7 linked regions of the Mus musculus genome follow. The protein of the gene in region 7 interacts with the protein of the main gene of each other region in a pairwise test. Links are inferred from orthologs where the notes say so. Each region holds a gene or a part of one and is shown on either strand. Other genes may lie near its edges.

The links.
Region 1: the proteins of Rab3ip (region 7) and Banp interact in binary tests that used the Homo sapiens proteins (3 or more experiments, as listed by UniProt). The two-hybrid records come from large-scale screens. The link is inferred for Mus musculus from reciprocal best matches to the Homo sapiens genes RAB3IP and BANP.
Region 2: the proteins of Rab3ip (region 7) and Rufy1 interact in binary tests that used the Homo sapiens proteins (3 or more experiments, as listed by UniProt). The two-hybrid records come from large-scale screens. The link is inferred for Mus musculus from reciprocal best matches to the Homo sapiens genes RAB3IP and RUFY1.
Region 3: the proteins of Rab3ip (region 7) and Plod3 interact in binary tests that used the Homo sapiens proteins (3 or more experiments, as listed by UniProt). The link is inferred for Mus musculus from reciprocal best matches to the Homo sapiens genes RAB3IP and PLOD3.
Region 4: the proteins of Rab3ip (region 7) and Naa10 interact in binary tests that used the Homo sapiens proteins (3 or more experiments, as listed by UniProt). The two-hybrid records come from large-scale screens. The link is inferred for Mus musculus from reciprocal best matches to the Homo sapiens genes RAB3IP and NAA10.
Region 5: the proteins of Rab3ip (region 7) and Ppl interact in binary tests that used the Homo sapiens proteins (3 or more experiments, as listed by UniProt). The two-hybrid records come from large-scale screens. The link is inferred for Mus musculus from reciprocal best matches to the Homo sapiens genes RAB3IP and PPL.
Region 6: the proteins of Rab3ip (region 7) and Trappc6a interact in binary tests that used the Homo sapiens proteins (3 or more experiments, as listed by UniProt). The two-hybrid records come from large-scale screens. The link is inferred for Mus musculus from reciprocal best matches to the Homo sapiens genes RAB3IP and TRAPPC6A.

The regions. Positions count from the first base shown.
Region 1 is NC_000074.6:121,998,992-122,002,491, reverse strand, and holds part of Banp (protein BANP), read right to left. Parts: intron 1,529-3,500; coding exon 1,361-1,528; intron 1-1,360. UniProt on the Homo sapiens protein: Controls V(D)J recombination during T-cell development by repressing T-cell receptor (TCR) beta enhancer function. Binds to scaffold/matrix attachment region beta (S/MARbeta), an ATC-rich DNA sequence located upstream of the TCR beta enhancer.
Region 2 is NC_000077.6:50,388,786-50,390,955, forward strand, and holds the end of Rufy1 (RUN and FYVE domain-containing protein 1), read right to left. Parts: intron 1,587-2,170; coding exon 1,509-1,586; intron 1,174-1,508; coding exon 1,030-1,173; 3' UTR 501-1,029; downstream 1-500. UniProt on the Homo sapiens protein: Activating adapter involved in cargo sorting from early/recycling endosomes. Regulates retrieval of proteins from endosomes to the trans-Golgi network through interaction with the dynein-dynactin complex.
Region 3 is NC_000071.6:136,990,019-136,993,518, forward strand, and holds part of Plod3 (multifunctional procollagen lysine hydroxylase and glycosyltransferase LH3 precursor), read left to right. Parts: intron 1-132; coding exon 133-258; intron 259-399; coding exon 400-521; intron 522-726; coding exon 727-831; intron 832-940; coding exon 941-1,066; intron 1,067-1,281; coding exon 1,282-1,423; exon of another isoform or gene 1,424-1,523; intron 1,524-1,525; coding exon 1,526-1,639; intron 1,640-1,753; coding exon 1,754-1,822; intron 1,823-3,190; coding exon 3,191-3,295; intron 3,296-3,500. UniProt on the Homo sapiens protein: Multifunctional enzyme that catalyzes a series of essential post-translational modifications on Lys residues in procollagen. Plays a redundant role in catalyzing the formation of hydroxylysine residues in -Xaa-Lys-Gly- sequences in collagens.
Region 4 is NC_000086.7:73,916,370-73,918,944, forward strand, and holds the end of Naa10 (N-alpha-acetyltransferase 10), read right to left. Parts: intron 1,584-2,575; exon of another isoform or gene 1,559-1,583; coding exon 1,474-1,558; intron 918-1,473; coding exon of another isoform or gene 827-917; coding exon 590-826; 3' UTR 501-589; downstream 1-500. UniProt on the Homo sapiens protein: Catalytic subunit of N-terminal acetyltransferase complexes which display alpha (N-terminal) acetyltransferase activity. Acetylates amino termini that are devoid of initiator methionine.
Region 5 is NC_000082.6:5,090,982-5,094,481, forward strand, and holds part of Ppl (periplakin), read right to left. Parts: coding exon 3,428-3,500; intron 2,299-3,427; coding exon 2,215-2,298; intron 1,501-2,214; coding exon 1,384-1,500; intron 957-1,383; coding exon 864-956; intron 366-863; exon of another isoform or gene 1-365. UniProt on the Homo sapiens protein: Component of the cornified envelope of keratinocytes. May link the cornified envelope to desmosomes and intermediate filaments. May act as a localization signal in PKB/AKT-mediated signaling.
Region 6 is NC_000073.6:19,514,158-19,516,645, reverse strand, and holds the end of Trappc6a (trafficking protein particle complex subunit 6A), read right to left. Parts: intron 2,446-2,488; coding exon 2,378-2,445; intron 2,225-2,377; coding exon 2,107-2,224; intron 1,640-2,106; coding exon 1,556-1,639; intron 1,443-1,555; coding exon 1,349-1,442; intron 801-1,348; coding exon 769-800; 3' UTR 685-768; coding exon of another isoform or gene 581-684; 3' UTR 501-580; downstream 1-500. UniProt on the Homo sapiens protein: May play a role in vesicular transport during the biogenesis of melanosomes.
Region 7 is NC_000076.6:116,912,454-116,915,953, forward strand, and holds part of Rab3ip (rab-3A-interacting protein), read right to left. Parts: coding exon 3,391-3,500; exon of another isoform or gene 2,190-3,390; intron 1,983-2,189; exon of another isoform or gene 1,757-1,982; coding exon 1,644-1,756; intron 1-1,643. UniProt on the Homo sapiens protein: Guanine nucleotide exchange factor (GEF) which may activate RAB8A and RAB8B. Promotes the exchange of GDP to GTP, converting inactive GDP-bound Rab proteins into their active GTP-bound form.

The sequences.
Region 1 (3,500 bases), on a different chromosome or scaffold from region 7:
ATTTTGTTATCTTCCTAATACAATGATGAAATCTGTGGCCCAGTATGATCTTCTCAGGTTGTCATTAAGTTCTGGCTTTATGGGGTTGGAGACTTAGCTTAGCAGTTAAGAGCACCAGCTGCCCTTTCCGAAGACCTGGGTGCAGTTCCCAACACCCACATGGTGGTTCACAACCACCCATAACCCCAGATGCAGGGGATCAAATGCTCAGACCTAGGCATCCACTCGTCTATGCAGCACCTTCACAGCACGAAGGCTCACTGCAGTGCAGCCACTACAACCTGATCTAGCGGAATCTTCCTGCTCTTTAATCACACGGATTAAATCACATGGACAGTAACATGGGAGCCACAGTGAGACAAACAGAACTGATGGACCACTGCAGACTGCCACCATGAAGATCCGCTGCTCGGGTAAGGAAGGACCAAACCACAGCCCGCACGGCTGACAGCACTTGGGAGCACATCTTAGGTTAGCTACAAGTCGTGCTCGCCCCATTTAACAGCCACACACAACCTCACCAGACACATTCCTCACATGCCTAAAGGCTCCCTTGGGTTCCCAGGATAGAAGTCCAACTCCCAGTTCTGCGTGCCACCTGCAGCAACACTGCCTACCGGGAACAATGTGTGTGGCCCACACAGCTGCCACCTTAGAGCCTTGGCACCGGCTACAGCTAAGTAACTAATGGCCACTAAAACAAAGGAGGAAGAGCTCTTTCTGGAAGATGCTCAAGGAGGGCTCCAGGTGACCAGCTTTGTAGCTTCCAAACCAGAGTCCCTGGACAAAGCGTGCACTGAAAGGAAGCCTTGCCGGCCACCTGCCCACTGCTGTCCCAGATCCTGAGCAAACCCAGGACTCAGCTTTCAGGAGCTGTTGCTACTGCCAAGAAAGCTATGAAAAACAGTTTAAGAGGCAATTTTAGGATTGAGAGCATAGCTCAGTGGCAAAGTACCAGTGCCAAGATTGCCCAAGACCCTGAGTGCAAGCTCTACACTAGCATGAAGGGAGGGGACGGGCCAACAGGTAGGGCTCAGAGAATGTCTCTGCGATCTTAAGGACAAGCCTGAGTCTATAAGCTCAAACTAAGACTAAAGAGCACAACATGGGCCCTCCGTCCTTCACCCACCGCCACTCTGCAGCTACACAGTAGCTACTGTTAAGGCAGCAGGACGCTCAGAAGATAAGTAACCAGGCAACTCGAGAAAGGTCCCACACTAAATTTTCCTGTTGAGCCTACAGTGTAAATAGGCAGGCCCTGTGCTCTTGTCACTGCCTAGGGAGCTCCCACAAGGCCAGCCTCACTGACAGGGCCAGGACTGATGAACGGAGCTTCGGGACAGCGCCCTCCTGAGCCTACCTGAGGCACTGTAAGAGGATGAGGATGGCGTCCTCCGAGAGAAGCTCTTGACCGCCAGGCTCTGGCCTCGCTGCTTCCGCCGCCAGGCTGTCCGGCACTTGGAGTCAATGCTCTGCTTGATCCGATACCAGTCAGATTCCGTGATTCCAAATTTATAGAAGAGGTGACCTGAAAGAACACGTCCCAGTTAAGAGCTCTCATACGCAGGCCTTGTCCTGAGCCCCACTGCTGAGAGCACCAAACAGCAGCTAAGCTCTGCTAAGAGACCCAGCTGAGCCGCTGGCCTACTCCTAAAGGTCTGACTCATCTTCTAGAAAATCTCACTTCATCAAGGAAGACGCCCATCACTCAGGTCACTGGGGGCAGCAGGACCAGATGCAGGTATTTACCACTCCTCCCGTCGAGTTAGTTAACCTTTAAAGAACCAGGCTTCACTCCAACACCAACGAGTCTCCATTTCTCCCAGGCTTCAGACTCCCAAGCCTGTAACTTCTCTTGCCCTAAACTCACTCACAAGACGACATATACCATCCTAATTGCCTAGGGAATCAGACTCAAAACTGCACTCATACAGGTCTTGCCAAAGCTGTAGTCCGTTACCCTCTGCTCTTCTGTTTAGCCTAGCCCGCCTCAGTCCAGACCAGCAAACAGTACTGTCCCCTCTCCTCATCCAAAACTCCCTCAGTGCAGCACACTTGCTTTCTAGAACACCTTAAATGTACAGGGATCTCACACAGTGTTTACCCTTCCTCCCTTACAAACGAGGGGCACTCAGTAAATTCTGGCCAGCATTCGGGGAGCAGCAGGCACCTGAAGATGTTTGCCCAGTGCTCCCAGCCAGTTGCTTACTCCTTCGTTCTTACCAGGCTGTCTCCTAACACACCCAAGCTCTTAGCACAGGAACCACTTCCCAGAGTTGCCTGGAACCCCAGGGAAGGGTAGTAGCCACATCCAGCCCTGGAGGGTAGAGCAGGAACACACAGCACACAGCAGAGCACCACTGGACCCCAACTGCCGATCCTTAGGAGCACAGAACAGGCCGGGAGCACAGAAGAGCACGCAGAGCCTGGCCATCTCACGACCTCACGCCATGGCCCTCCCTCTTTTTAGAACTTACTTTTTGTATCACCAATCCTTAAATTTGCCAATTAAAATTTATATTTATTAAATTGTGTGTATGTGTGTGTTTGTGTACCCGCAGAGGTCACAGTTACTGGATCACCTAGAGCTAGAGCTACAGACAGCTGTGTGCCACTGCTGTGGGAGTTGGGACTCGAACTCAGGACTGCTAGGAGGAGTAAGTGTTCTTAACCACTAGACCCTGTCTCCAGCCCATGGTCCTCTGTCTGCCACGGCCCAATGACAGCAGGAAGGATGGTAGTGAAGGACGTCACAAGACTTTCTCTTCAACACAGTGACCTCTGTAGCTGGCTTATGCAACTTCACTAAATAACAGGAAAATAAATGAAGAAACTCAAACTCCAATAATCAAAAGTCTAAGTTGGCAAATGTCCTCTTCTGGCTGTTAAAGCCACCGAGTTTAGATCGTCTCCTGAGGGGGAAGTTCTCCCCCAAACTCTACAGCTGCTCTCATCAAGAGCAGCCATGAGAAGGAGTGGAACCCTTTCACTGCCATATTACCTACTGGGCATTAGGAGATGTCTCTGAGTGTTCTGTTTGCATATACTCAGCAATGGCACAGTGACAGCAGGCCTGTGACCTGGAAGTACTTTTCCCTTTCCCTCAGGAGTGAGTTGGCAGCTCTGGTTCTGACTTCCAGGTCATCTCAAATAGACAGAGTCATAAACCACTGAGAAACCACACGCGAGACAAGTGGCTTTAGATATGGACAAAAGCCTCTGTAGGTCCCAGGCCAGTCACCTGGCTTCCAGTCGCAGTCACCACAGAACCCCCTGCTGGCCAACTACCTCATCTGATACACATTTGAAAGCCTCACTGAGTAAGAACACCATCGCTCTTGTGCCTGTTTGTAGGCAAAACCAAGGAATAGGAGAAGCCATCTCACAGTGTCACTTCTGGCTATGTGTCCACCTTCGTCACAGCGGAGGACAAACAAGACGAGGCCTGATGTCATACCTTCCTCTGCTCAGCAGGCCATGCAGTAGGACCAAAGCTCAAA
Region 2 (2,170 bases), on a different chromosome or scaffold from region 7:
TAATGGTTTGCTTTTTTTATTATTATTATTTTATTTATTTATTTATTTTTTTTTTTTTTTGTTGTTTTTTTTTTTTTTTTTTTTTTTTTGAGACAGGGTTTCTCTGTGTAGCCCTGGCTATCCTGGAACTCACTCTGTAGACCAGGCTGGCTTTGAACTCAGAAATTTGCCTGCCTCTGCCTCCCAAGTGCTAGGAATCTGCCAGAGATCTGCTTTTTTGCAAGCTCAGTGTTTTGAGTACTTTCAAGGCAGGCTAAGGGAGGCTGTACTGTGGTCATTATTGGCTCATTTCTACTTGACTGCAACGTGGATGTAACCCCACTTTGAGTCAGGCATCTGTGTAAGTAACTCACTTGGACTTTGGTGACAGGCTTTGGGCTTTGGTTCACCTGGGTAGAGCAGCCCGAGTCCAAGCAACACTGAGCTGAAGAGCTCAGACCCAGCAGGCCCTCCTCCCCAGGCCTTGCTGAGCCCTCCACAAGCAAGCTGGAGGCCAGCACTTTGTCTGTACAAGAGTGAAAAATAAAGGATTTTATTGCAGGGCTGACAGTAGGTGTTGGCAGGAGCATGATGGCAAATGCTGGATGCCGAAGCAGACAAGGCACACTGACAGACCCACAAGGTTCAAAGCACAGCAGAAATCAAGGTTTCTGTGGGACGTGGGTAGGAAAGAGAAAGGATTCTCTAGTGCAACTGCTGCACAACAGGTTAACCCTTTGAAAAGTGAAGGTGACAGTAGCAAAGTCATGAAGTTGCACCTGTACCAAAGCCAGGATTTAACTGAGGACACAGAAGTGTCTGTCTAGAGGAGATGACTCCATAGAGACCATGGAAAAGTGCTCAGCTGCCACTTGGCATTCTCTTCCGAGGCTGACAGCCTGGTGAAGGTTTCATTCTTTCCTTTGATTCTCTTGGGTCCCTACAGGTCTCTGGAGATCCCAAGTTTGGCACTGTACCTGAGGCTTTCCTCCACTCTGAGGATGGAGGTCAACAGGTCAAGGTCCCTGCTGGTGGGTGGGGCTGATGGCTTCAGGAGGCAGTGGAGGAGCAGCGCTGCAGTAGCAGGGTATGGCAGCTGTCACACACACGCACTGGCTTAGGGTAGGAGGGCAGGGCCAGCTCGTTGCTAGAGCAGGTGTTGCAGAAAATGTGGCCACAGTTTCGGCAGTGGTGCTAGAAGACAGGACAATGGCAGTTAAGACTACTGGGAGGTGGGACCCCACACCTACCATGCTTCGAAAATCGTGGCTTCTATAAATGGCTATGTCATAGACTCATGTCATAGACAACCTCTTCTGATTAGGTTGTTAGCCTAATTCAGTCAAACAATTGGTCCTGCTGCATACAGAGGGCTGCCAGTGATGTATACAGCAGCTCTACACAGAAGCTCACTGCCCACCCATGCCAGTCATTAGAGAACTCGGGCAAGGGCCTCCAGCAGACTCACGGGCAGAGCTATAGTGAAAAGCCAGGCTTTTCCAGGGAACCCAGGAGCGGCTCCTACATACCTTCCTCCGAGAAATGGAGAAGTCCTTCTCACACTGCTTACAATGTGTTGCCTCGTCATCTTTCAACCATGTGTGGCCCTGAAGAAGAAAGAACACCTAAGAACTCCACCTCATGTCTATGTCTGTCCCTACTTGGCTGCATCTACTCTCTCGTGACTGCCCAATTTTCTTTCCAGGCCTGGCTGCTTTCCAAGACAATAACGTCCACTCATACATGTTGCAGGTGGGATTCACAGATCCATATAACGTGTCTGCTCTCAGCAGCCTGGCCTCCACCAAGGCACGATTCACCCAAAACACTCCCCTGTCCTGTTTGTTTTGAGACAATTTCTCTGTGCAACCCCAGCTGTCCCAAAATTCACTCTACAGACCGGGCTGGCTTTGAACTCAGAGATCCGACTGTCTCTGGCTCCCAAGTGCTGGGATTAAAAGTGTGGGCCACCATCACCTGGCTCCCCTGTTTTTTTTTTTTTTAAAGATTTATTATTATACATAAGTACACTGTAGCTGTCTTAAGACACACCAGAAGAGGGCGTCAGATCTCATCACGGGTGGTTGTGAGCCACCATGTGGTTGCTGGGATTTGAACTCAGGACCTTCAGAAGAGCAGTCAGTGCTCTTACCTGCTGAGCCATCTCGCCAGCCCCTCCCCTGTTTTCTTA
Region 3 (3,500 bases), on a different chromosome or scaffold from region 7:
AGCAGAGGGCCAGCTGGGCGGCCTGGGGCTGAGCTCCTGTGCACCTGGACCTGGCCGAGTGGGCAGTGGGTGACTGCTGTGGGCAGAGAGAGGTCTGGGCTTGTGTGAGCCTTGTCCTGTGGTGTCCCCCAGCCTCCCCCCCGGGTGCTTCTGGCCGTGTTTGTGGAGCAGCCTACTCCCTTCCTGCCTCGGTTCCTGCAGCGCCTACTGCTCCTGGATTACCCCCCGGACAGGATCTCTCTCTTCCTTCACAACAGCGTGAGATATGGAGAGCATACCCCTTATCCCCCATCCCACCGCACCGACACCTCCTTCCGTCTGTCCTCCCTGACTGCATCCCCCATGTACCCACCTCTCTGCCCAGACCGTCAGTGTATCCCTCTCTCCGCCCATCTTCAGGAGGTGTACCACGAGCCTCATATTGCAGATGCCTGGCCACAGCTCCAGGACCATTTTTCAGCTGTAAAGCTGGTGGGGCCAGAGGAGGCCCTGAGCGCAGGGGAGGCCAGGGACATGGCCATGTGAGTGAGTCTGCCTGGGCTGTGGTCACACTACGCTCCCCTCCCTCATCCTCTGACACAGACAGTGGAGCCCCTGGGGAAGGAGACACTGACCCTTGACCTCATGTCAGAACCAGGAGAGCCCCGCTCATCCCTCCATCCCCACTGCCCTGCCTCCATGCCCCCATTTGGGCTCACCTCTCTATCTGTGGCTCTTCTCCTCCAGGGACAGCTGTCGGCAGAACCCTGAGTGTGAGTTCTACTTTAGCCTGGATGCTGATGCCGTCCTTACGAACCCGGAGACCTTGCGTGTCTTGATTGAACAAAACAGGTGACCAGCACCACCCATGCATGGAGCCCCAGAAGAGCTTCACCCCCTCCCCTGGTGGGACATAGTCCTATCCCATCTCGTCCATCCCTCACCTACGTCTTCTCCATAGGAAGGTAATAGCTCCCATGCTTTCCCGCCATGGCAAGCTCTGGTCCAACTTCTGGGGTGCCCTGAGCCCCAATGAGTACTACGCCCGCTCCGAAGACTACGTGGAACTGGTGCAGCGGAAGCGAGTGTGAGTCCCACCCACGTACCGTGCAGTGCCAGGCAGGCCCTTCCCTCGGTCCCCCTCCGCAGCCTCCTACATACACACTAGGCCCCCGCTATGGAAAGGGTGATATGATGGCCTCAGGCTTGGGATTCTGGGGGACACCGAGGAGGAGCTTCTGCAGTGAGCAAAGCGTAGTCTGTGGGGTTGCCCACCTAGCTGATCATACCCGGTGCCTGCAGGGGCGTGTGGAATGTACCCTACATATCTCAGGCATATGTGATCCGCGGGGAGACCCTGAGGACTGAACTGCCCCAAAAGGAGGTATTCTCCAGCAGCGACACAGACCCAGATATGGCTTTCTGCAAGAGCGTCCGGGACAAGGTGAGTGGGGTGGTTGGCATGGGTTGCCCATGGGGACTCGACGCTGTGCCCACAGCCTCCTGATGTCCTCCTCACGCATGCCCACCCTTTACCCCGCTCCAGGGCATCTTCCTCCACCTCAGCAACCAGCACGAGTTTGGCCGGCTGCTGGCTACTTCTCGCTATGACACAGACCACCTACACCCAGACCTCTGGCAGATCTTTGACAACCCTGTGGTAAGAGGGGACCTTTGCTCCCTGCTTCCAGCCCATAGCCCCCACCACCATTGCTGATCATGGGAGGGCAGGCGTGAAGAAGGCTCCGCTCGAGCGCCCTAACCCTTCCTACAGGACTGGAGAGAACAGTACATTCACGAGAATTACAGCCGGGCCCTGGATGGGGAAGGGCTAGTGGAACAGGTAAGCTGCCCCAGGACCTTGGCCCGTGTGAAGTACCCACTGCTGGCATTGGTGGGTTCTAAGCTGAGCACCCGGGGACTGAGGGTTTCCTATTCGGGCGAGAGGAAGGCTAACGGCCACACTAAGTGTTAAGGGCCTGTAATCTTAGAGGTCTGGAAGGTGGTGCAGAAGGATGGAGAGTTTCAGGCTAACCTGGGCTACATAATAGGTACCAGACCAGCCATGGTCAGATGGCAAGACCAAGTCTCAAAAGAAGAAAAAAGATGGGCTGAGAGAGAACTCAGTGGTCAAGTGCTTAGGACATAAGCATGGCGACCTAGTACAGGTCTCCAGAGCCCACCTGCAGTTCCAGACTGAGGACCCGCAGCAGGTTGATTCGCAAGACTGGCTGCATCCGTAAGCTCTGGGTTCAATTAGGAGATCATGCTCGGTGGATAAGGTGAAAGAACAATGGAGCAGTTCCTGGTGTCAACCTCAGACCTTCGAATGCACAAATGTGCACACGCACACCCCCAACATAGCCGTGCCCACCCGCACATGCACACCCCCACACAGCCGTGCGCACACGCACATAAAAACAAACAGAGGTGTGGTACATGCCAATAATGCCAGAGCCCAGGTCGAGGAAGATAACAGGGATTTGGAGTTGCAGGGCAGCATCAGACACGTAGCCAGTTCAAGGCCAGCCTGGGGACTGGAGAGATGGCTCAGCAGTTAAGAGCACCGACTGCTCTTGCGAAGGTCCTGAGTTCAAATCCCAGCAACCAGATGGTGGCTCACAACCATCTGTAATGAGATCTGACTCCCTCTTCTGGAGTGTCTGAAGATAGCTACAGTGTATTCACATACATAAAATAAATAACTCTTAAAAAAAAAAAAAGGCCATCCTGGATTACATAGTAAGACCTTGTCTAAAAATAAGTAAGTAGATGGGCTGGAGCTGGGGCTCGTGCAGTAGAGAGCTCCCCCAGTATTCACAGAGCCCTAGGTTCAGTTCCCAGCACAGTATAACCCGAGCATGAAGTTGCACGCCTGTGATCTCGGCATTCAGGAAGTGCAAGTAGGACGATCAGTGCCAGCCTCAGCTACCTAGTGAGTTTGAGGACAGCCTGGGCTACAAAAGACCCTGTCTCAAAAAGGAGGAAAAAAGACAGGACAAGATCATTGTTCTAGATGTTGGGGCTCCAGGCCCCCTATTCCTGCCCTCCTCTGCTAAAACACCCTTCCTCTCTCCACCTAGAGAGCTTGGGTCAGCCCTCCATAGATCCTCTCCTGTGTGTCTCCCCTCCCCTGTCCTTGTTGCCTGTCCCACCTCTCTTCTGTGAGCTTCACCTTGCCTTGTCCCTTGCTGCCCTGCTCTGTCCCTAGCCATGCCCAGATGTGTACTGGTTCCCACTGCTGACCGAGCAGATGTGTGATGAGCTGGTGGAGGAAATGGAACACTATGGCCAGTGGTCTGGAGGCCGGCACGAGGTGAGGACAGAGGGCTCCCAAGGGGACAGGGTGGGCCTGAAGAGGGACAGGGGACTTGGGGGATAGAGGGGATCCCCAAGGGCGGGGCTCATAAAGAGTATGCTAGTTACTTGTGGCCAGGAGAAAGTATATGTCCAAAGCAACTTGAAGAAAGGGTTTCTTGTGGCTCACAGTCTGCGGGCACAAGCCCATCATGGCAGGAAGG
Region 4 (2,575 bases), on a different chromosome or scaffold from region 7:
CAGTACAGCAAAGAACATCAAGGTAGGAGAGCTGCCTCTGAAATGTGAGGCTGACTAGAAAGCCCAGGAAATCATTTTGTTCAGCCCTAGAAAATTACATTAGGACAAAAAGGACATTAATGAGGCCTATAGGCCAGACACGTGACATCAGAATATAGCACCCAGCCGGGCGTAGTGGCGCACACCTTTAATCCCAGCACTCGGGAGGCAGAGGCAGACGGATTTCTGAGTTCGAGGCCAGCCTGGTCTACAAAGTGAGTTCCAGGACAGCCAAGGCTACACAGAGAAACCCTGTCTCGAAAAACCAGAAAAAAACAAAAAACAAAAAAAGAATATAGCACCCAAAACAGTTTACCTGCCAACTTCAACTCAGTTGTTGAAGATAGTCAGATTTGGGGTCCCATCCTCAAATCTGTTTTGACTTGTGAGCTCAATACAGTCTAGGCTGTGAAGATAGTATCCCTGACACATAGGAACTGGAAAAAAAAAAGCATACCCCACTATGCACATTCACAAATTTCCCAAGGCCACTGGGTGACATTTATTGTAAAAGCACATGGGGCAAGGTTGGGACCAGGTGGGGCAGGTTCTAGGAGGCAGAGTCAGAGGCCTCTGAGCTGTCTTTGACATCTGTGCTCTCTGTGGTCTCGCTGACCTCACTGAGGTCCTTGCTGTCCCCACCACTATCCTCAGCAGCCAGGCCCTTCTCCTCACGACAGGCCTCTCCTGAGCTCAGAAGCACGTTGCCTTTGTTCTCCGCTTTGTTCTCCAAGGCCGCCAGAACCATGTGCTTGCCCTTTTCCTTCAGCTCCAGGTGCCGCCTCAGCTGCCGCCAGGAGCCCAGAGGGAAGCGGGTGGAAAGAGACAGGGCCTAAGTCTCCAGACAGGAGACAAGAGGAGCCAGGCCCTGAGGCTGGCTGGGGGAAGGGACACAGTGAGAAGTGGTAGGGCCAAGGCAAGAAATAGGACTGGGTAGAAATGTAGTTCAATCCTAGCTCTGCCCTAAGCCTGCTTTCCTCATCTGTAAAATGACAAAGGTCCTATTGCCCTCAAATGTGCTGTTGGGGAGCCTCCAAGACAGAGCAGTACCTCCCCAGGAGGCTTGGTCAGAGACCCTTTCCCCCTAGCCCAGTTTAGTCCTAAATCTGAGCAGGCTGCCCCTGACCCTAGTAGTCCCTCTCCCTAGAAAAATATCTTCCTACTCTCTCTCCTGTTCCACCCACCTCCAGGCTTCTTCCCTAGAAAGCATCCCATAGCCCCCTCTAGAGTCAACAGAGGCCATGTCACAACTTGACAGCTTAGGAAGTGAGGGAAAGAGGGGCTCTACAACGACAAGGGCTGACACTCAATCTTGGTCTTGCCTCTAGCCACCACTGCCTCACTCAGTCTCACAGCTCTAAAGTAGCCACCTTTCCCAAGTACAGAATCTCCCCTGCTGCTGGAATTGCTGCCCTGGACTGGCTGAACTCTTACCTCATCAGCCATCTGCGTGAGGTCCCGCTTCATTGCATACGCATCTTCCCCATCTGCATAGTATTTGGGCTCCACTTCGCTGATCCTGGGGGTAGGATCAAGACACATGCCTAGGGGCAAATTCTCCTGGTTCTTAGGCTACTGGGGTAAATGTCATCTCCCCCATAGAACCTTTGTAGAGGCAAAAAGCCAGTGTGAATGGGCTTCTCCTTTTTGTTTTTCATTTGAATGAACTCTTGTCCAACTGCTGTGATAGTTATCTCTGCTTTTCCAGTGAAGCCGAGCAGCATGTAGCATCCAGGGTACTTCCCATTCCTAGACTTGCTACCACTTTGTCCCTAGCCTGACCAGCAAGGACTTGTGTTTTCAGTTGAAGCCCCTAGTTCTGCTTCTTCCTCTCCCTGACCTGCTTCTTATCATTTACTGAGCACATAGCCAGTTCCTCTGCTAGGAAAAAGGGACACTGTACCTGCATGTAGATAGTCAGCATAGACAACCTGGTTACTGACCAGATGGCTGAGGGAGGGGAGGGAGGTGTGTGTGCACACTTGAGTAGCCCTGACACTGGAAGGGAAGCCCTTTGATGACCTAGGAAGGTTCCTTGCCAGTCTTCAGAGGTACATGTTGGGTATCTTCCTCAGTTGCTTTCCACCTTATTTTTATTTTTTCAAAATAGGGTCTCTCACTGAATCTGGAACTTGTCCATTCAACTAGGCTGGTTGATTAGTGAACCCCAGGGACTCTCTTGTCTTAACCTCTTCAGCACTAGGATAACAGGTGCGGGGCACTGTATATGGCTTTTATGCATGGGTGCTAGGGATCAAACACACGTCCTCACAATTAAGCTTAATTGAGACAGGGTCTTGCTATGTGGTTGAGACTAACCTGGAACTCACTATGCTGGAACTCCAAGCCATAGTCGTCTACTTTGAGTGCAGAGATTAAGAGGCGTGTGTTACCATACCCAGCTGGAAACTGCTGACTTAGCAGCTAAAGCAGTTCCTGTTGCAGAGGCGTCTTAACTACGTCAAAGAGCCCTCCATGAATCTGGATGTAGAACCCAGAAAAGCTGAAGACTACTACCCTGTCCCAATGGTGTCAT
Region 5 (3,500 bases), on a different chromosome or scaffold from region 7:
GCACTGGTGGGAAATGCAGGGCTCTGGTGCTCTAGGGGAGCGACACCTGCAATCACAGCATCAAGGATGTGGACACTGGAAGCTTCCTGAGCCTTGCTGGCCAGCTAGTCTAGCCTACTTGGTAAACTCCGGGCCAATAGGAAACCTTGTCTTAAAAGGGGTAAATGCGTTCCTCCGGATGACTCTTTGGTTGTCATTGTCCTGCACATGCAAGCATGTCCATGTTCCTGCACTTAAGCAAATCCACATACAGAAACACAGACATGCCACTGAAAATAACTTTGAAGCTCGGTGGTTGTGGTGTATGCCTTTAATCCCAGCAGAGTGAGTTCCAGGACTGCCAGGACTACACAGAGAACCCTGTCTTGAAAAAAATGAAACAAAACAACACCTCCCCAAAAAACCCCATCCCACCCCACTCCCAAAAAACTCTGGGGGCTGGAGAGGTGGCTCAGCAGTTAAGACCACTTGTTGCTCTTAAAGGGCACCCAGGTTTAATGCCTAGCACCCAACATGGTAGCTCACAACCATCTGAAACTCCAGTTCTAAGGGATGCATTGTCTTTTTCTGATCTTGGGCACCAGGCACATGTGTGGTGCACATACATACATGCAGGCAAAACACTCATTAAACAGCAAACAAAAGCCTTTGATAAGTGCTCAGCAAACATCTTTTGAATTGGTATGGAAGTTAGCCCAAGCTAGTGAAGAAGGCTGGTTTAGCTTAGCATTAGCATTAATCCTTCTCAAAAGTGTCAGCAGAAGACACTCCCGTCATTCTCAGGCTGTGTCTCTAAGGCAGAGGAAACTGCTTTCCATCTTGTAGGACAATTAGAAGTAGTATTTCTAACTAAGATGGATTACCTGTCTCAAGAGATTCAGTGCAAACTCCAAATTCTGTAGCCTCTGTCTGTTGATGGCATTAACCTCTGTGAACTTGGCAGCAAGAGCAGCTTCCTACAGAGAAATTTTAGGACAGCAGTTAGAAGGCTAGGAGAACAACAGAACACTTGGACACAGTCTAGGAAGGGCCTGGCGTGTAGAGAAAGGGCTACCTCTTGCCCAGTGCTACCCGTAGCTCCAGCCTTTGGTGGAAATATAAGACTGAGCTGATGCAGGTTGATTCTTGGTCCATGACCACTGAGCAAGTCTTTCTAAGTATTCTTTTCACAGCTGTTGCAGGCTGTACTGCCCTCTACTACAGACTTGCACAGGGGAGCAAGGTGGGAGCCTCCCATGTATCTGGCATGGGACCAGAACCCCTACAAGCCTGCCTCTTAGGCATATTGATATCTCACTGCTCCAAAACAAGTTCTTTCTCTTGCAAGTGCTTCACCGAGGACCACATCTGGAGAGCCCCTGGCAGTCTTCACTTACAGCTCACCTCTTCCTTCACTTTGGCAGCAGGAGACTGCAGCCTGGCTCTCTTGTTCACATGGCTGTTCCGTCCATTCTCCAGGTCCAGCAAGGACCTTAGCTTCTCTGCTTCAAGTTCATAGTCCTGGGTAAAAGAAAGGAAGTACAGTAGTCAGCTAGGGGCAATAACAACAACAACAACAACAACAACAACAACAACAAAAAGTGACAGTGATTTATGCTCCCTCTAAGGACTCCAAGCTGCCAGAGCTGGTTTAGCAATCTTGTATAACTTCCTCACATCTGTACCTGAGCTGGCTAAGACAGTGATGCTAAGTTGCTACCTCACTGAGTGACATCCATACAAGAAAATGTGCCTGCAATTCCTAACTCGTGTAGAGACACAAACCAAGTTGACTCTTTGGGCCTTCCAAAAGGCCAAATGCTGTTTCCTTGGGGAACACTGCATCCTAAGCCTTTCTCCCTTTCTCCACCAGAGACCTTGGCATTTTCCATCAAAGTAGATGCTGGGTCATTTACACAGACATTCCTGCATAAGGCTTTGTTGGCTAGTTTTCCCGTTATAACTAGAGCTGTTATATAATTTTGCTTGGTGTACATCATTTTTCATTTTGTTTTGTTTTCCTTTAGGGTAACCCCCCCACACACACACAAAGAGTTGACTGTTCTAAGAATATAATTCCTGGGTGATATCAGGTATCTGGTGCTGTATTGTTTTGTCAAAGGGGTGGGGCCTACATAAGGCGACTGCCCATTTCCCCAGCAACCTACCTAGATTGCTCTGTAACATTTAATGCAAAAGGCCCTACTGTGTGCTCTGACAGGGTTCATGGCTCACCTTCACCGCTTGCTGGTACTGCTGGGAATCTGCATAGACCTTCTGCACCTCCTGTTCCCTGCTTGCTAGCTCATCAAGCAAGTTCTGTAAAACAGGAGATACTGGAAACCAAAGCTGAACCACACACACAGGCTCCTCAGAGGCTGAGTCCTTAGGACCTAAAGTCAACATGCTATAGCTGGAAGCATAGTGGGTGGCTTTCCTGTGTACATTTGTTCACCACAAAGGGCAGTGCCAAGGCCTGGAGCAAGGGCCGTGAAGATGGTTATTCGTGCCAGGAAACAGGTGTTTATTGTGAGCTCTGAAATGCCAGGCTCTGCTCTGGTAGAGCATGTAATCCTACAGCAAGCGTGTGAGCCAAGCCCGAGGAACTTGTTTGACTTGAGAAAACAAGTCCAGGGAGGGACAGCAAGTTGACTATCAGGAGCTGGCTTTCCCTGTGTTTCCCTCTGTCTGTCTGTCTGCCCGTCTCTGTGCACATACAAAGGCTAACAGTCTACATCATATATCTTTCTGCTACTGTTTTCCACTTAGTTTTTGAGACAGGATCTCTCACTGAACCCAGAAATCGATCAATTTGGCAATGCTTGCTAGCCAATGAATTTCATGGACCCTTTTGTCTTCCGTTCTTGCCCAATGCTAGAATTATGGACTTGCATAGCCATGCTTGACTTATTAGGGGGGTTCTAGTGATTACATTCAGGTCTTCATGTTTGCATAGCAAGCACTTTTCTGACAAATTCGCTTCCTTAGCCTCAGCCACTGGATTTCTGAGGTCCTTGTGGCATTGAGGAAGTGGGAACCCCAACTTTGATAATGGGATCTTTCCCACAGAGTTCCCAGTGTTTCGGTCATGAGCTAAGCCATATGAATATCTGTTGAGTCAGGGCCTGTGAAGGGCATTGTGGGGAAAGGGGTGAGCAAGACGTGGAGTGCTTGTGAGAGGATGCTGAAAGCGGTGGCCCCTTCCTTTGTCTTGCCCCATTGGCCTTGAGAACTTCTTCTTCTTCTTTTTCTAAAAATGAATGTGAGTACACCGTAGCTGTCTTCAGACACACCAGAGACGACATTGGATCTCATTACAGATGGTTGTGAGCCACCATGTCTGGAAGAGCAGTCAGTGCTCTTAACCACTGAGCCATCCCTCCAGCCAGGCCTTGAAGACTTCTGATGCTCCCAGACATACATTACAAAGTAGAAGCAGCCATCTTACCTTCTGGTTCTTGAGCTTGGTCTCCATCTGGCCGAGGCTGTCTGTCTCCTGGGGCTCATAACTGGGAGTCTTG
Region 6 (2,488 bases), on a different chromosome or scaffold from region 7:
GATGGGATTCAAACCTGGGTCCTCAGCAAGAGCAAGAAACACTCTTAACTTCTGATACATCTGCCCCACCCTGAGAGGCCTTGTCTTCGGGGTGTCGAATTGGAGCGATGGCTTAGTAGTTAACAGGGCTAACTGCTCTTTCAGAGGACTAGATTCAGCACTTTAGCGCGCGCACACACACACACACACACACACACACACACACACACACACACACACACACGAGCCAGCAGCCCTTGTTACTTCTCAGCCACCTCGGTCTGAATTCCCTGGGCCTGGGTGCTTACCCATGCAGCAATGGGCAGCAGAATCCAGGCTTAAGCCCAAGGGCAGCCCAGATGCTACAAATACAATCAGAACAAGGTGGCAGGGTGTCACCTGCTGGGCTGGGGGCAGCCCCAGACTTGTTGGCTGGCAGAGCTCATGAGCTGGGCCAGGTGTGCCCAGAGCTCACAGGGTGGGTGTGGGTACGGAGTAACGTGTGATAAGCACTGCACAGGTCTGTTTGCACATAAAGAACCTTTACTGAACATCTGTCATCTGGGTGATGCCCTAATGTCCCTCCATGCTGACTTGGAACTCAGGGGATGGTCCCACCTCCCGGGACCCTCCCGGCCCTTTCATTCCCTTGTCTGAAGCACATGTGACCTCCCCAGAGCCTGTGAGCTCCAGCTTCAAGGCGACCTGCAAAGGTGAGCAGTGAGGCAGGGTCAGGTGCCACATTCCGAGGCTAAGCTTAGGGAAGGGCAAGCCTGGGGTCTGGGGTCCTCAGGACTTCTGGATCACCACCTGGAACTTACCTGGAACAGAAGAGCCAAGACAGAAACCCGTGAGAGGGCTCTCTCTGCACCCCACTCTGCACCAACAGCCCAAGTGGCCCCGGCTGGGAGTGGGTCGCAGGGGTACCGCCCCACCCAAGTGGCCCACATTCCAGACCACAGGGGAGCCCAGAGGCAGGAGGGCTAGCCCAAGCTCCTGACATGTCTTGCCCATTGAGTCCAGCTCCTCACAGTGGCAGGAGTCATCATCTAAGCCCAGCAGTGCCCTATGGGGTCAAGATAATAGCAGACGGGTGCCAAGTCCACCGTTCCAAGCCATCAGGAACCTGGCCAGGGTATGAGATGTCCCACTGGGTCTTATGCCCACTTCTTCTCTTAGAGGTACCTCAGGGATGCAGGCTGGGCATATGATTCCATTCATGTTACCTGTCTCTGGGCCTCAAATTTCATGTCACATACAGCTTGGTAATCTTGCTCCCCTTCCCAGCACTGATGAGGGGCCAAGGATGCGGAAGCCCCAAAGCCTACACCACATTTAAGGGAAACAACCCCCCCCCCCAGTAACTTACAGGCGGGCAGGGATGCCACGGAGGCGGTGACCAGGCTCTGGAAGCCCAGTGTATGGAGGGCGCCGCACAGAAGGCCGCAGGTGAAGGCCAGGAACTGGGGTGGGGGTGGGGGACAGAACACTGTGAGAAGAGGGAAGCCAGGCCCCAGCCCCACGAGCGGCCTAGCAGGGGTGGGTAGATGGGCATGTCCCGTCCCTCACCCAATACCTTGGGGGCTTCCTCTAGATACTGTGGCCCCGAGCCCATGGTGACAAGGAGGGGGAAGCTGTTGTCCTGCAGCACATAGGTCCCCTGGCAACAAAAAAAGAGCCAGAGGGCAGGGAAGGACCCCAGTATACCCACAAACCCAGCATTCAATCCTTTGGGCGCATGTGGAACACCCTGTCATTGGCATGTGGGCCATGTGGCATTAGGAAGCCGTCCCTGCCTGGTAAGGTGCTGGGAGAGGCCCAATCTCTGGCTCTTGATGTGGTGGCGGGAATGAGCACAGTGTGGGTATTCAGTGGGGACTACTGGGACTTGCCTGGTCGAGCCCACTAGCTGACTGTGCAGGGGTCACTCCTGAGGGGCAGGCTGAAGTTGAAGAAACAGCCCTGCCACCCACTGCAGTCCTGTCCTCCCTTAGGGGCTCCAAGGAGAAGGGTAGGTGCTAATGTCAGTCTAGGGTTCTTGCCTCCTACGTCCCCAGTGGGCCCTTGTGGAGGTTCCAGTGCCCCTAAGCTGGAAGCCAGGTGCCGGAGCTGGGCTCGCACACCCACCTGGTGGTTGGTGCGGAGTCCGTCCATGTGCTTCTGGAACATGGCGGCCCACAGATCTCTGCACAGGAACTTGAGGGCATCTAACTCCTCCCTAAAGGCCGGTGTCTCCAGGGGCAGCCTGCATGAGGATGCGGAACAAAGCCTGGCCCACACGGTACATGCGTGGGCCCGTGAAATCTTCCCCACCCTTGGTCTTGTCAGCAGGAACCCCAACGTCAGGTCTGCCCACTCTCCCAAGCAGCAGAGGAAGGCAGGTGGGGCTGGCTCTCACCTCTCACCCAGAGCCTGGCCCACGCGGAAGCCCAGGCCCTCCAGGACGGACAGGCTCCTCCTCTTTCCCTGGAAGGCCAAGAAAGGGAGGCTCAGGAGGCCACACAGGCCT
Region 7 (3,500 bases):
GGGAGAGGAGGGAGGGGAAGAGGGGGAGAGGGGGAGAGAGGGAGGGAGAGAGAGAGCCTGAGTTCACGCCCCGGAACCCACACAGTGGGAGAGAAGCCAGCTCCACAAGTCCTACTGTGACTTCCACGTGCATGCTGTGACTCCGCCACAGTAGTAGAAAATAAAATGTAAAGGAAAGAAAGACAGGAAGGGAGGAAAGGAGAAAAAGACAAAACTCTTCCTTCCATTTTACCACAAGTGCCTTCCCTCCTGACCTTGCGCACATAAGCACTGTGTGTAAATTGCTCTCTAAATCTAACCTACCTGATTCACACTGCTGTCTGCCATCATGTAGAGAATGCTTTCCTATGTATAGTATATGTGACACAGTGTAAGCAGACAAGCTGCCACATGCCATACTTGTTCAGGTTCCAAACACTGCGTTCCCCACACCTGACTTTCCATTTGAGGGGCTGCAGGGCTAACAGGAAAACACTTTGGTGTTTGTACGATTTAATACTATAAGCTCCCCTCAAGTCCAGGCTGCTGCGCTACAGGGTATGGTCACAGTAGTTTAACACCAACCACAGCTCTGGCTGGGTATGCAGCTCAGGGAACAAACACAACCGGCTACACCACCCAAGCAGTCCCATAACCACTAGCACTCTACAGCCGCCCTGGGAATGTGTGTGCACCCACAGAAACAGGCGGTACAGCTTCTCTAACAGGTCCTGCGTGCACAGCATCACAACAGCCCTTAGCCCGGTCCTCAAATGCTTTCCCTGATAAAATAAAACAGACGCTAAAGCCTATTCCTTACAGTAATGGACGAAAAAGGCTGCCCCACCCTGAGAACAGAGCAGTCCTCCCTTTGACAACTTGTACTTTCCAAATGCCTGTCACATGTGGGAGACAGCTGTTTGCCAATTTCAGCATCTTTTATAGAAATCATATGGAAGGTGAGGACTAATTTTTTTTATTTTTAATTATGTATATGTATCCAGGTCTGGGGGCAGGGGACATGTTCCCATGAAACTCATTCAGGCCAGAGGTATCCGACCTGAGTTACAGGTGGGTGCTGGGTGGGCTGATGTGGGAGCTAGGAGCTGAACTTGGGCTCTCTCAAGAGCATCAAGTGCTGCTAACCACTGAGCCATCTCTCCAGCTCCTGTATCCTGTTTTCCTACTTGGTAAGGCCAGTTACCAAGCCATTACCTTCTCTTTTCTCTCTCCCAGTCTGGCCTACAATTCACACGTCTGACTTCACAGCCCACTAATAGGTCAACACTGTCTCTAACCTTTAGTCGGCCTGCAGCCCCAGCATGTATGTATTACGTAATTAAGAGATCTTCAGGGCGCTCCTGAGCAGCCACATCCACCTCTTGCCTTGGGTCTGTACCGCTGACCTTTCCTTGGCTGTTCCTCTCTCCGCAGCCACACTGAAGTCTAAGAATGTTCTAGAATTCTCTAAATAAACCACACACCTTTCTTTACCTAATAGACCTCAGCTTTGTCTGGGGGGAGGGATAAGTTTAACTTTGAAATACAAAGTTAAAGACAAACACCGCATGTCATTCAAACCACAGACAAGAACAAACACAAGAGCACAGCACAGAGACTCTGAAGAGCGCGCTCTTCCCACAGGGCGTGGTGAAAACACCTACTTTGGCCCTCCGCACTCGACAGCGGAAGCCTTCACGAAGCGGATGGGCTGCAACCCCACTGGTTCGATGCTTAGAGTGTTGTTCTCCACAGCCTCCAGAACAGCTGAAGCCAACTTAAAACAAAACAGAGTTAAATGTCAGCAGAAAAATACCAAAATAAAATACGACATTAATTTTACAAGCTGGTCCTCCCTCTGCTTCACTAACTTGGCCGTAGCCACTGCAAAGAGAAGGAAGAAAAGCATAAAGCACAACCGCGATTTAACCTTTAAAACGCAAGCCGCTACGACAGGCAGCTCAGTTACAGTAGCAAGGAGGTTCTGCACTAACTGGCTGAGGGTAAGGTTGTTTATTATTATTATTATTATTTTATTGCTATTGTTCCAGGCTCTGTCCACACATGGCTACACGTGTACTATATACAAGCCACTTCAAAATTAATATCCTAATGCTTTACCCTCTAAATTTATACAATAAATACTGGTCATTTATGACAGCAATATATAGTAATTTTAGCTACATATTTTCTCAACTTCTGTCTTATAGGCACAACAATCTCCCAGATGAGATGAGATATGGAGTGCCCTCCACGGGCAGCCAGTAAGAAGGTCAGAGTTGAGTCTGCTGCGGCTACGAGCGCTAGGGAACAGGCTGCAATGCACAGCCCACGCTCGGGTCGGTGCCAAGCTGCTCGTGCACAGTTCTCCTTACAAGGACGATACAGCTCAACCCTCTCCAGAGTCATGGAAGATTCTGAGGACTGAATTCCTTAAACATTAGCTGGCAGGCTATTTGGAGACAAACTTCTCACATATAAGATCAAACTAAAATATGGCTGTCCTGGCTGGTTGTGTGTCAACTTGACACAAGCTGGAGTTATCACAGAGAAAGGAGCTTCCATAAGATCCAGCTGTAAGGCATTTTCTCCATTAGTGATCGAGGACGGGAGGGCCCATTGCGGGTGGTGCCATCCCTGGGCCTGGTAGTCCTGGGTTCTATAAGAAAGCAAGCTGAGCAAGCCAGGGGAAGCAAACCAATAAGAAACATCCCTCCATGGCCTCTGCATCAGCTCCTGCTCCCTGACCTGCTTGAGTTCCAGTCCTGACTTCCTTTGGTGATGAACAGCAATGTGGAAGTGTAAGCTGAATAAATCCTTTCCTCCCCAACTTGCTTCTTGGTCAAGATGTTTGTGCAGGAACAGAAACCCTCACTGAGACACTGATCTTACGTTGGATGCGACTTATCCACCTGACCCTTTTCAATGTGCTTCAACCTGCTTGCTTCATCCTCTACCAACCCTAACCCAGGCACGTTGGCATTGTCTTTCTGTTTGGTTTAAGGACACGTTTGGTGTTCTGGTTTAGGGTCTATGTTAGCAGTGATCTAACAGGGCCTTGTACGGTCAGTGGAGCACTTCCTTGTACGGTCAGTGGAGCACTCTGCTCTGAGCTACACTCTGGCAAGCACCTTTAACAGGGTGTGTATAGAACTTGGCTTAAACTGAAAACTGAATCTGGGTCTGCGAATCAGGCAGCAACCCTCCTCCCACACCTATCTACACGGCTCACTAATACAATGAGGAAAGATGTTCAGAATAGCCGTGATCGTGGTCCTAATGGAAAATGGAAAAATGTTTAAGATGACATTTTACAGTAGTAAAATTACATGTAGGACATTAAAATATGAAGCCTGACAGTAGGAAGTACAACAGACTCTACTGCATTTCTATTAAAATGAAAACCATTACCTCACTCTTTGCAAATGTTAAACATGGAAAGATGTCCTCCTGGTAGATTTTGTCCAGGAAAGGACACGTTCTGTCCATCGTGGGCTCATCCTTCCAAGATCTGAACTCAT